Sus scrofa: one gene and its partners. The protein of the gene in region 3 interacts with the protein of the main gene of each other region in a pairwise test. Links are inferred from orthologs where the notes say so. Each region holds a gene or a part of one and is shown on either strand. Other genes may lie near its edges.

The links.
Region 1: the proteins of TRIM2 (region 3) and CIB3 interact in binary tests that used the Homo sapiens proteins (3 or more experiments, as listed by UniProt). The two-hybrid records come from large-scale screens. The link is inferred for Sus scrofa from reciprocal best matches to the Homo sapiens genes TRIM2 and CIB3.
Region 2: the proteins of TRIM2 (region 3) and LRRC8E interact in binary tests that used the Homo sapiens proteins (3 or more experiments, as listed by UniProt). The two-hybrid records come from large-scale screens. The link is inferred for Sus scrofa from reciprocal best matches to the Homo sapiens genes TRIM2 and LRRC8E.

Annotation. Positions count from the first base shown.
Region 1 is NC_010444.4:61,406,272-61,410,746, reverse strand, and holds the start of CIB3 (calcium and integrin-binding family member 3), read right to left. Parts: upstream 3,048-4,475; 5' UTR 2,733-3,047; coding exon 2,682-2,732; intron 2,466-2,681; coding exon 2,431-2,465; intron 771-2,430; coding exon 659-770; intron 1-658. UniProt on the Homo sapiens protein: Acts a an auxiliary subunit of the sensory mechanoelectrical transduction (MET) channel in hair cells. Plays a role in regulating hair cell MET channel localization and function.
Region 2 is NC_010444.4:71,315,304-71,319,553, reverse strand, and holds the start of LRRC8E (volume-regulated anion channel subunit LRRC8E), read left to right. Parts: upstream 1-1,328; 5' UTR 1,329-1,432; intron 1,433-2,898; exon of another isoform or gene 2,899-4,250. UniProt on the Homo sapiens protein: Non-essential component of the volume-regulated anion channel (VRAC, also named VSOAC channel), an anion channel required to maintain a constant cell volume in response to extracellular or intracellular osmotic changes.
Region 3 is NC_010450.4:75,936,793-75,941,398, forward strand, and holds the start of TRIM2 (tripartite motif-containing protein 2), read right to left. Parts: upstream 3,021-4,606; 5' UTR 2,872-3,020; coding exon 2,785-2,871; intron 2,705-2,784; exon of another isoform or gene 1,793-2,704; intron 1-1,792. UniProt on the Homo sapiens protein: UBE2D1-dependent E3 ubiquitin-protein ligase that mediates the ubiquitination of NEFL and of phosphorylated BCL2L11. Plays a neuroprotective function. May play a role in neuronal rapid ischemic tolerance.

The DNA of each region.
Region 1 (4,475 bases), on a different chromosome or scaffold from region 3:
GAAAAGTTTGGATGGAGAGATCTGCTTTCTGCTTGTTGCAGAGCTGATGGGAGGAAATCTGGGTCAGGTAAGCTTTCCTTTCACTACCTCAAGAGGACAGGCTGCCTGAGACTGAAGCCTCTTCCTAAGAGAAGCTGAAAGATAGAGGCAGATTCTCAAGCATATCTTCAGAGACCCTGGTTCCAGCTATACATGCTGCTAGCCTTCTCCCTGCATTTTTTGTTCACATGATCCAACCCATTCTGTCCTTCTTGAGTCAGGTTTCTGTCCATTGTGATAAAATAATCTCTACTCACAGTCACTCACCCCACAAGTCCCCTTCATAGTCACAAACTATGTGTCAAACATCCAACTGAGAAGAACCTGCATTTACTAGCTCCTACTATAAAAAGAACATTCCCTGAGTACTTGCCATGAAGCAGGTCTTGTGCCGAGCTCTTTTCCTGCATTGTCTTGTCTCATATTCCCTACAACCCAGAGTTTGATTCCTGTCTCTATCACATCCTAGTTGTGTTACTATGAACAAGTGTCTTGACATCTCTGAAATTCAATTTCTTCATCTGTAAAATGGAAATAATCACAGTACTCACCTCATAGGGATATAGCAAGGGATATTCCTACAATTTTTTCCCCCACCTGTCCCATGGTTCAGGCGTACCTTCAGCTCAGGCATGCTGCCAATGAGCTCATAGGGCACCTTCACATCAGGGCAGCTGGTATAGTCAAGAGGAACAAGCTGGGGGGCCAGGTCCTGGTAGCGATAGAAGAGCCTGATGTGGGGAGAAAAATAATGAGAAGATCTAGGAGATGAGTAGGGGTGGCTTGTCCCTACTCTTTCACTCTTATAGCTGTTCACTCTATACTGAAGAATGCTGAGTCCCCAAGCACTATCAGCCATGAGCCCAACCTCACACACACAAGGCCAGACATAGGCATGTCTATCCTCCTGGGACAAGGCCAAGGTAAAGAGAAGGCTTCAGGGCTAGGGGAAACCAGAGGGGGGAAAACAAGCCAAGAAGGAGGAAGGACTTCCTGTAGGAGGGGGCATTGGTGCTGGGCTTTGAAGCATGAGTAGAAGCTTACCAGGCAGATGAGGTTGACAGAAGGAGGGTGCTTGGGGCACATCAGCATTCAGAGATTCTGAGCCAATCTATGAATCTCTGGACATCATCATGTTTTTGGCAAGACCTTGCCTCTAAAGACCTCCAACCTCATACTTTCTCTCTTTCCATAATGCAGAAGAGCAGAAAAAAGTCTACTATTCAGATTTTCCAAAAGGGTAAATGATAAGCATTTTGTAAAACACCAAATGCCACCAAACACACTACCTAGATTGTGAGGCCAGCTCTCTACTCCAATGCCCTCACCTGATGACACCATACCATCATTGGGGCATGCTGAGCAGCAGGCTTACAGAGACCATTCTTGATGAGTCAGATATCCCCAAGTTGCTAAGGGGACAGGACTATCTAAGGACTGTCCCTGAGGGGGACCAGAGCCTCTGGGTCATATGATGGCTAGGGAAGGGGTATTTCAAGCTTCAGTTCTGAATCATCTCAGAGAATAGTCTGGGTTTGGGTTTGGGTTTCTGCATAGTTTTGAGCAAGTCTCTCTTCCCTTCTTCTCCTGAGTAGATCTGTCTGACAAGCAAGAAGCTTGAGACAGACAAAATGTTAGCCCTCAAATTCCTTGGGCTCTACCCATCTATCCAGCGGCCCAAGGTAAGTCTCTTGTGTCTGAGCCTCAGTCTCCCCATCAGTAATCCAATCGTAATGGCCATGACGACCCTGTGAGCTGTTCTTCCCCAGACAATGGGGCTAACTGGCGAAAGGTATGCCAATCAATAATGGATGTCCAATGCCCACACAATTGGGGCCTTGGCCCCGATCACTCTGCAGTCAAACCCCAGCCAGCTTGGGTTTCACAGCTCCAAGTTCATGGGTCGGGGCCTCTGGACAATGGCTCTGTGAGCTGAGTGATGATATAGACTGTCCATCTATGCCCACCTTGCTCACACCAGGGACCTGCTGCAGCCCAGGGCCACCTCCTCTCTCTCTAATCTTGATGCCAAACCCACAGCCCAAAGCTGGCTCTAGAGTCTGCCCCCAGTTCCCAGCCTCTTCACACCAGCTTCAGGGGGATCTTTCCTAACATGCCGATCTGCCTCTCCCCTGCTCGCACACTCTCTATGGCTCCCCACCACCCTTAGAAGAAAGCCCAAGTCGTCAGCCTAGAAGTGTGACAATAGGACCAGATGTGACTTCTCAACCTTCCCCTCTCTGCATCCATTCACTGACCATGCACGCGATCCCCCCCATTTAACCCCCATGAAGCATTGAGTGAGGTCAGACGGCAAATCCAGGACAAACTGCAAATCCAGCAATATATAGAAAGTGTCCAGCTCTTCCTTCCTTTCCTCTCTAGACTGACCTCATGATTTCCTTCCTCGTGAAGAAGGTGCAGTCCTGCGGAGAGAAATGTTGGCTTGGCACAGAGCCTGCCTGGAGGGCCTCTTTCTTCTCCCACAATCGCATACCCATCGCTGCCTGATGCCACACCCAGAACTGCCCCAGGAATGCTTACTGAGTGCACACCCAGGAAGAAAGCGAGGCCGTCCCCATCTCGCAGGCCAGGAAACAAAGGCTGCCAAAGCCACCAAGGGTCCAGTCCATCACCCCTACCTGATACGCTTCTAGCTGCTCATGTGTGAACACTGTCTGCTTGTTGCCCATGGTGAAGGCCACTGTCAGGACTCTGGAACAGACTCCTAAAAGACCCCAGTCTCCTCAGGGCCACGCCGGTTGCCAGGCTGCCGCACATTGGTGTCTGGGCAAATCTCCCTGCCCTGGCTGTCACCTGCCCACCCGCCGCATCACCCCCAGCCTGGGTGAGACTCAAGTTACAGCCAAGCTCTCTGGGCAACGGCCTGAGTGTGTCCTTGGCCATCAGGGGAAGGAGAAGGGCTGTGGGAGGTCACAGGGTTCCTCACAGGGAGGTCACCTCAGTGGGAAAACCACAGCTGCCACTACCAGGAGAGACTAGGGGCATGGGGGAATATTATTTTTTTCTTTTTCTTTTTCTTTCTTTTTTTTTTTTTTTTTGCCAAATCCACGACATGTGGAAGTTCCCAGGCCAGGAATCAAACCTGCGCCACAGCAGTGACCCAAGCCACTGCAGAGACAATGCCAAATCTTTAACCTGCTGTGCCACAGGGGAACTCCCAGTATGGGGCACCTTCAGGAGATGGGCAGGGTGGTGGAAAGGTTGTGAGCACACTCCAGATCAAATTCCATTTCTCTACACAGTAGCTGTGTGACCTTAGGCAAATCACCTGGCCTCTCTGAGCCTTGTTTGTAATGTGGAAATTATATTAGTACCCACTTCACAGAGTTGTTCTGAAGACCTAATAAGATCATTAATGCACCCTCCCAAAATATTTGACCATTGGATATAACCCAATTCTAGGCACATAATGGGGAATAAAAAAGATGAATTGTGCATTGGAAATGATGATGAGAGTAATGTTATGGCTTGAGAAAAGCAATCCAATGTCTAAGTTTGGGTTAAATAACAACAGAGTTTTTTGTTGCAGAACTTGTCAGAGCCTTTAATGTGCTAATGTGCACCAGGCATCCCCAGGAGGCAAATACAATGTAGCAGCTACCAACCTTATTCAAACCCAGAATGCTCTTGGGCAGAAAATTGGGGAGCCAGAAATTCCCAACTTGGCACTCCCATGCCCTTCCCACTCTAGATCTGGCCTCCTTCCACTTTTTTCTCCTGCTCAGCTACTTCCAGCTCCATACCCTGGCCCCCTGAACCACTTGTGAATCTTCCTCTTCCCTCATCCCCACTATCCCTGGCCTGGACCATTGCATTCCTCCCACCAGGCTCCTCTGGTCCCTGTCTCAGCTTCCATCCTCTGCTCAAGCATGTGACATCATCTTATAAAATGTGACTATGAGGAGATCCGTTGTTGTTCAGTGGGTTCAGAACCCAACTAGTATCCATGAGGATGCTGGTTAGATCCCTAGCCTCACTTAGTTAATTATCCAGCGTTGCCACAAGCTGTTGGTGTAGGTCACAGATGTGGTTTGGATCTGGCATTGCTGTGGTTGTGATGCAGGCTGGCAGCCACAGCTCCAATTTGACCCATAGCCTAGAACTTCCATGTGCCACAGGTGTGGCCCTAAAAAAAAAAATGTGACTATGACCAGGATTTAAAGACCGCCCCCCCCGAATATAATTTTTGAGAAAAAAAAACTGACCATACCAAGTGTTGACAAGGATGTTGAACAACTGGAACTCTTATATGCTGCTTGTGGTGATGCAAAATGGTACAGCCACTCTGGAAAATGGGTTGGCAGTTTTTTGTAAAGTTAAACGTGCACTTTACATATTACTCAGCAATCCCACTGATATTTGCCCAGGGGAAATGAAAACCTATATGTGCCCACAAAATAGAAACATTTATA
Region 2 (4,250 bases), on a different chromosome or scaffold from region 3:
TGCTATGTTATATACATGGCATTTGTCACAAACTAACATCTTGTTCCTTATTTGCTGGCATTCTTTTTTTTTTTTTTTCTTTTTGGGGCCACACCTGCAGCGTGTGGAAGTTTCCAGGCTAGGGGTCTGCAGCTGCTGGCCTACACCACAGCCACAGCAAGCAGGGATCCCAGCCGGGTCAGCGATCTGCACCACAGCTCACGGCAATGCCAGATCCTTAACCCACTGAGCGAGACCAGGGATTGAATACAAGTGAATTCTAGTCACGTTCTTAAGCCGCTGAGCCACAATGGAAACTCCTTGTTTGCATTCTCGCCTTCTCTCTCTGTCTCTGTCTCTCTCTCTCTCACACATGCACACCTGCTAGTGCAGAAGCTCTGAGAGAGAAGGTAGCCTCACTTATCTGGTCTAAACAATAAAGTTTGTCTTTGGGCGGCCTTTGGTGGAGCCCATAGGGACTTCTCCAAGGATCATGCCCACTGCAGGTTTCACAGAGGAACCTAAGCTTCCTGGAGGGGGGGACTCAACCCTCCAGGTTTCAGACTGTCTCTAATCTGGTGAACTTATGGGTTTCTTTTCCCCATGGGAGAGGAGGTCTTACTCTTCCACCTGGTCCAGGTTCCCTCTCCCTTGAATTTTGTAGACAGAGCACATCAAGGCCGAAGACTTAGTGAAGACCCAGCTCAGGCTTCCCAAGGTGGGAGGCAGTCGTGGCGGGAGAGGAGGCAGTGTCTCCTTTAGAAAAGCTGGCCTCCCAGAGCCCTCTGATCCCTGCGCCCAAATCCCCGCCCCCCAGGACCTGAGAGCAGCCCACTCCCTCTCCTCCCTGCTCCCCGCCCCCAGGTTGGGGAGAGCTGACCTCAAGGCTGGGCAGGGCAGCCGGCTGGGTGGTCAGAGTAGGAAGGGGGAAGTGCCCTGCCCTCCCTTGGAACCTGGTCCCACGTCCCTTGATTAAGTCTCAAGGCCAGGTGCCTACACCTGGAGCGAAGAGAGGAGAAGAGGACTTCCACGCGTCCCTAACAGATCTGCACAGCCTGGCTTCTGTAAGGGTGTCCACAGGTTGGCTTTGGGAGCCGAGCACCTCCAGCCCCACCTCAGTTTCCCCGTGTCAGGTCCGCCCCACTGCAGCGGAGCCCAGAGTTCTACGGTTTCCTGCTCCTCCGACCAGCGCCTTGCCCACCTCCGGGACATCAGAATTAGGATCGTCTTCCTCCCGCGATCCCGCAGTACCGGGAGTCTGGGGGCGACCTGGGAGCGGCTGAAGGGAGGCGGGGACGGGACGGCTGGTGGGCGGGGCGAAGCGGGGCGGCTCCCAACTCACATCCCGCCCTCCCTGACTCACCCGGCCAGGCCCGGGAACTCTGCGGGAGTCCCGGCCGCTCCGCTCCGCTCCTGGGGACGCAGGAGTTGGAATCCGCGTCTGGCCCGTGCGGTGAGTAGGTGGCTCTCCGTCCCTGAGGACGGCGTGGCGGGGTGAGGATCTGGTCCACGGGAGGACCGTCCCAGGTGCGGCGGGCACTGTGATCTGAGCCCCACGCCCGTCTGGGGCACAGAAGGAGCTGGGGGTGGGGTGGGGGGCAGAGAAAGGCCCGGCCCTGGTCAGCCCAAGGGCGCCTGTCCAGGGAGCCCAGCAGGCCTGGCCAAGGACGGAGTGAAGATCAACAGGCTGAAATCAACCTGGGGGTCTTGACCACGTCCTCTGCTCTGGGTTCTCCGCTGCTCAGCGGCTTCTAAATCATCCTTGTGTGCCCCTCAATTCCCAGAAACCCTACCACTTGGTGGGGGGGGTTCACCAGACTGTCCCTTCTGGGACTGTTGAACGTCAAGACTCCCCAGACCCTCCAGTCCCGGCAGGGCCACTTGGAAAAGTATAGGTAGGGAGTCCCCAGGCCTGGGGCCCAGAACAGGATCTGCTACTACCGGGCCACCCTCCCCCACCCAGGCCACAGTTTCTCCTTTGTGTAAGTCAAATGTTGGACCTTGTGCCTTCTAAGGCCCACTTCAGGGCTGACAGCTGTCACCATTTCTTCTTTGCTTCTTAGCATGGGCTGTGGGTGGGGGCTGGACCAGAAGCACCCCCCATTGCCATGTGTTTAGAGGAAAGCTGGGGACTTGGGGAGGGCCTGAGAGTGAAGATGCAGGGGTGAGGCATGGGTGAGGCATGGGTGGGTGGAGCTAAGGCTGGATAGGGGCCCTATTCCAGGCCCTAGGCTGACAAGGACATCCTAGCCTGTGTGCCAAGCCAACATCCCCCCCCATCTCTTCTCCACCATAAGGAACCCCCTTCTGAGGTTCTTTTGGCAAAGATGCTTCATCTCAGCCAGACGTTCTCACTCAACATGGAAAGAGCACACACAATCAGACAGAACTGACGTAGGGGTCTGGCCTTGAATGCCTGTTGTAGCTGTGACACCTTGAGAGAGTTATTTCACTCCTCCGTCTGGAAAAGGAGGGTCCCAACATCCATGCTCCCAGAGTTGGGGTGAAAAAAAAAAAAGAAAGGCACTGAGTGGGGGTTCCCACTGTGGCTCAACGGTAACAAATCAGACTAGTATCCATGAGGAGAGGGATCCTCCATCCCCAGCCTTGCTCAGTGGGTTAAGGTCCTGGCATTGCCGTGAACTGTGCTGTAAGTCACAGATGTGGCTCAGATCTGGCATTGCTGTGGCTGTGGCATAGGCCAACAGCTGCAGCTCTGATTCAACCCCTAACCTAGGAACTTCCATATGCTGTGGGTGCATCCCTCATTAAAAAAAAAAAGAAAAAAAAGAAGAAGGCACTGAGGAGTTCCCACTGTGGCACAATAGGATGGGTGGCATCTTAGGAGCACTGAGATGCAGGTTTGATCCCTGGCTCAGCACAGCGGGTTAAGGATCCAGCATTGCCACAGTGGTGGCATAGGTCACAACTGCAGCTTGGATCTGATCCCTGGCCCAGGAACTCCATATGCCATAGGGTGAGCGGGAAAAAAAGGGCAATGAAATGGTCTGGTAGCCATAAGCTCTCTGCCCCAATCCCCCATGAAGCCTTTCCCCGAGCCCTGCCACCAGCCATGTTCAGACAAAGAGTGGGGCAGGCTTGTTTCTGGGAAAGCTTAATGGCAGGTTCAGGATGATCAAGATTGAGTCATGGAGACATAATAATAACCCCACGTCAGTCTCGGATGCTGTTGTGTATACACCTTGCTCTGCGGGAGCCTCTGGGCCATCGGCTGGGGACCCTGGGTGTCTCTGCCTTTGGTAGCAGACCTGGGATGGCCAGTGGCAGAGCTTCCACCAGTGTGAGATGGGTCCTAAAGGATGGCAGGGACTCCTGGGCAAGAAGTTGGTTCCTGCCCATCTGTGGAGCATTTCTGCTGCAGCCCCAGAGTTCCCATTCTCAGGTGAAGGAGTTGAGCAGTGTCCCTCACAGGGACAGGGGGCCAGAACTAGAAGAGCAGATGGCTGGCTCCCTGGTCCTGGGTCTCCCCTTGGCTTAATGTGTATTTGCACTTTGTGCACACTGGTACAGATGTGCACACTCCAGAATGCCCTGAGGATGTCCCTTTTGATGGCTCCAATTTGCCCCCCCGGGGGCTGTTGAGCTGCCCTAAATGTGTTTTTCTATCAGATTCCCCACTGACTGAATCTGTGATGCGCTGGAGCATCTTTACCGGGCTTGTAGTTTAGGACAGACCGTGATACTGATTGTGAGGGATGGGCCACTGGGTGAGGGATTGTGTGCTCTGTCTGTGCACCCCCTTGCGTGCGTCTATGCTGGGTGAGTCAGAACCTGAGTCAGGGGGCTCCCCTAGACCGGGTGTGGGCAGGTGTGTCCCTGTCCCTTGCGTGCCATCCCCCATAGGGAGGTAGAAGCCTCTTACAGGATTAAGGGGTGTGGCGGATTACCTGCCTCAGCCTAGTGGGCAGGCCTGCGTCCTATATCCCTGCCCCCTCTTCCACCTTTTCCTCACTCCGGAGTAACTCTAAGGCCTTTAAGATTTCGGGAACCAAAAAGGAAGTCGTGGAGGTGTCAGCAATTGGCTGAGGTGTGGGACAGAGACCAGTTTCCCCCTGGAGGTGGGTGGGAGGCTGGAGGACCAGCTGGTGGTCCAGATGCCTCCCTTCCTTGTCCAGCCTGCACCTAGTGACAGGCTACCAGGACAAGCATAGCAGGCTCCAGGAAATCTGGGTGAGAAAACAGGGGCTGTGTATTGGGGAGCATGGATGCTGGGCTGGGGGGGGTGATGAGCACCAGCCTAGGAGCTCCCC
Region 3 (4,606 bases):
GGACTGGCAACTCTGGGTCCTTAATTCACTGCCCCCACTGCAGAGACAACACTAAGTCCTTAACCTGCTACACCACAGTGGGAACTCTTATAACAATTTTAGTTCTTTACCTATAAATTAAGTAACTCACATCCTAGACACTAGCTGGTTTTCAGGGACATTCTAAGCTAATTTGATAACTGCTTTCCTAAGAGTTATTTAAAATTGTTTCTATTCTGTAGGCTTTTCCTTTCTTGTTTTGTTTTAAGATAATCCTCAACGATCAGGTTACCAAAGAGAAGCTGCTTGGTGGGAGATGGGTTTGGAAGACCAGCACAAATCTTAAGGCATCACTGTAAGATATTACTTTGTCATGTCCATTTTACAGATTAGGAGACTGAGGCCTGGGAAATTTAAGCGCTTGCCCACAGCTGACTGCCCACACCCACAGCATGGGGTAGATCCTGGCTCTGGCTGGCACCTTGGGGAAGGTTAAGGCTTCCACTGCCATCAGCCCTTGACACCACATTCCAGATACCATATCAAGACATCCAGCTGCAGAGACACCAGGATTTAGGCTTCAAACACTATGACTTGGTATCACACACAAGGCCTGAGCCAGATTGACAAGGAAATGCACAGGACATACTGAACATGCTATTCCGGAGCCCACCCACACCCTTAGATGCTCCTTTTCTCCCTAGGAGAAAGCCAAGTTTGTTTGTTTGTTTGTTTCTTTTTTCTTTTCTTTCTTTTTTTTTTTTGTCTTGTGCAGCTTATGGAAGTTCCCAGGCTGAGTCCAATCCCAGCTGCAGCTGCTGGCCTACTCCACAGCAACGCAGGATTAGAGCCACCTTTGCAACCTACACCACAGCTCACCACAACACCAGATTCTTAACCCACTGAGTGAGCCCAGGGATGGAACCTGCATCCTTGTGGATTCTAGTCAGGCTCATTAGCTCTGAGCCACACCAGGAGCTCTGAAAGCCAGAGTTCTTAAAGAAATACATAAAATCACAGAGATACGCTGGCACCTCCTTAAAGTTTGGAAATCTTGTCTGGAAATAAATATAAAACAGAAGTTGAACTTCAAGATTTTCTCCACCAATCAATAGTAAGAAAAAACCCACACTCCTTCTCACTCATACTTCAGGGAGAAAGGAGGGAATTAGGATCTCCTCGCTTTATGTATGGTCCTCATCAAATGACTGCCTTGTTAGAACACAGTGAGAAGAGGGGAGGGGAAGAAGCGAGCTCAGGGCTTGGAGCCCGAGGCCCAAGAGAGACTGAAATCCCAAAGGAATCCGGCCACGGGCGATGCCCCCGGCGGCGCGACACGCCCGGGTCCTTACAGGACTGATCGCCGTGGTCACTGCCAGCGCACAAAGATTCTCCAGGGCGGGAAAACACTGGTCTAACTTCATTGTTTCGAGTCAAGCTTAACACGCAGCTTCTCCCCTTTTTCAAAAAGGACCCGAGGTTTAAGGGCTGGACAGGATTGTCTACACCGGCTGCCTGGTGCTGAGGTCTTTTCTTTGTGTCTTCGCCTCTCAAAGCAGAGGAACAAATCCCAAAGCGTGCGCTAGAAACCAGGCGCCCCAGCCTCTCTCACAGCCACCTGGCTGTCGCCTCCTTGCCGCGCCAGCGCGCACAACCTACAGACAAGGAGTGGCGACGCGCGTCGCGAGGCCCTCCCGCAGCTCTTTGCCCGCACACCGGCCTCTCCTCCCGTTGCCTCTGCGTCCCTGCCACCCGACTGGAAGCCTTCGGAAGCCAAGCCCCCTGCAACAAGCGTGAAGCCACGGATACTCACGTTTCCAATTGTTCTCGTGAAGTGCGCGCACTCCCCACCACGCCGGTGGTATTTAGAAGCCGGAGAAAGCGTTCCGAGCGCCGCCGGCCGGCTGAAAGCCCCTCATTTTCTTCAAGCTCACTCCAAATGCGCCTGGGTGCCGCCAACGCAGCTGCCAGGTTTAATAACTGTGTCAGACAGCCCCTCCCCCCATAAAAAGACACAAAGATGACAGACTGGGGACTGTGAAGCGCGCGATCCGCCGCAGTCACCCGGCCTCATCCCCGGCGTTGCCGCAGCTGAAACGACTGCGCAGGCACCGACCAGGAAAAGGTTCAAATGCCAGCCTTGACCTAAGAATTCTCCCGAAACCTCTGTTCTTTCCTATTCGCTCTGAACATAAATCTGATACGCCTCCCAATAGTCCTTGTGAAACAAAACAAGAGGCGAAAAGCGAGGGGGGCCAGTGGCGTTTGACCACGGATCATAAGAGCCAAGGGCTCTTCCAGTTACCCTAAGTTGTGTCTCAAATGTAAAGGGGAACTTAGAAGAACGCAGCAAACCTCAACCCTATTAATGTTTGATTTTCCGGGCGTTGGTGGAATATCCTGACACTATTTAAAGCGGCAAAGCACAGGAAGCTCATCAAACTAGGTTTCCCTCAGGTTTTGTCGCGCACACGAACTCTCAAGCCTTTCCAGAGGACACTGGCAGCAGAACCTTACTGTCTGGGGAGTCTCCTTTGCAGATCCTCATCGATTTGGACCATCTCCAAAGTGCAGTTCAGCGCCTCGAGGGCGACTGGGTTTTATCAAGCCGAAAGGAATTGGTGGTTCTGTTTTGCAAGTGAAATATCCCACCGAAAGTAGTGCTTTTAAAAATATGGTAGATATATAACGCATCCAGGCCTCGTGGGAGCCTGGTGGCCTCGCCCCGCGGCCCCCCCCACCCCCGGCCCCGCCCTGCCCCGAGGGCTCTTCCCGGCGTCACCCCACTGCGCCCGCTGCACCTGCCTCTGCCGGGAGTGGTTTCCGTGGAAACTCCGCAGAGCCGGTTCTCGCTTCGGACTCGCGGTTGCCGGGACAACTGCGACCTAGCATTAGGCGGTCCAGGAAGGATGGCGATGGATGCTTGCTTAAAAATCACAGATTCAAAGAGATTATCGAGGGAGAAAGGGCAGAAAGAGGAGGGCGGCGATATTTGGAAATGGAGGCGGAGCCGCGGGAGCCTGTGAGTGGGTGGGGTTAGTCCACGTTGCAGACCCTTACAGAAGGTATAGCCTCTTCCTTCCTCCCACTAAGCGAGTTTTTACTTGGCTTTAGAATGAATTCCATCGTTCCCTTCAGCATATTTACTTTTCTCTGTTCTGCTTAAGAATAACTAAGTAGCTCCTTAGAAGACAGGAGAGGCCCATTAAGATGCGTGAAGCGGAGGGGAGACCTCATGGGAATAACCCTTAACTGTGAGGATCTCTTTGCACGCTCAGGCCCCCACGAACACGTGGTTACAACATTAAACTCAGGATTTCTGGTGATGGTTTGGGGGGGCGGGGAGAAGGTGAACGAGAAGTTTCAGTGTTCATGTGCCATTTTGTCACTTTTGGATATGGGCATTTTGTACTTGTCAAACAACAAATAGGTATTCAAAAATAAAATGTATCAAGGCAATTTTTCTTTTTCCTTTTTAGCTGCACCTGGGGCATGCAAAAGTTCCAGGGCCAGGGATGGAACCAACGTCACAGCAGTGACAATGCAAGATCCTGAACCTGCTGTGTCACCTAGGAATTCCCAAGTTATCTGTGATTTGTGGAAGGCATATAAACACACCCATACCCCATATTTATTTCTCTTCACTATAAATTGTATGTTTTGTATCTGAATTATAAAAAGTTTAAAGTTAATGGCGGATTTGAATTGATGAGATTTCACTATATATATTATGATAATATGATATTAATTAACCTATGAGTTGAGGCTGAAATATATTTGTATATGTGTATGTATACAGAAATGCATCTCTCTCTCTCTCTTTTTTTTTTTTTTTTTTTTTTTTTTGCCTTTTCTAGGGCCGCTCCCGTGGCGTCTGGAGGTTCCCAGGCTAGGGGTCATATCGGAGCTGTAGCCGCCAGCCTACGCCACAGCCACAGCCATACAACGTGGGATCGGAGCCGTGTCTGCAACCTACACCACAGTTCACGGCAACACCAGATCCTTAACCCACCGAACAAGGCCAGGGATTGAACCCACAACCTCATGGTTCCTAGTTGGATTCTCGGATTGGTTAACCACTGTGCCACGATGGGAACTCCTCTTTTTTAAAGTCATAAATACATTTTTAGGTTCCACATGCATCTAACTTTCATAAAGGAAGTGATATTTCTATATTTTAAGAAAACGGTTTGTATAAAGGAAAATATACAGGAAATGCCAAAAGTTAAGACATTTTGAAGAGAAGAACTGTCTGATTTACATGTTTTGAAATTCACATTTTGTATCCTGAATCTGTTTTGAAGCACAGAATTTTGGAATCATGTGATACAGGTATTTATTTGCAAATGAATTCATCTAAAGCCAGGAATAGAACAGACATTCTCCTCTCTCTCTTATTATATTTCAAGTTTGAGAAAACAAAAAGTATCAAGCAGATTATCTTTACTTGTAACAAAAATTAACAGTGAATGCTACAGAGCACAGAAGAATAGGGAAAATGAGGTTAAAAAATACTAAGCAGGGAAGCATTTAAAAATAGTGCTTCAGGAGTTCCCTGGTGGCCTTGTGGGTTAGGGATCTGTCAGTGTCACTGCTGTGGCTTGAGTCAGTGCTGTGGCAAGGGTTT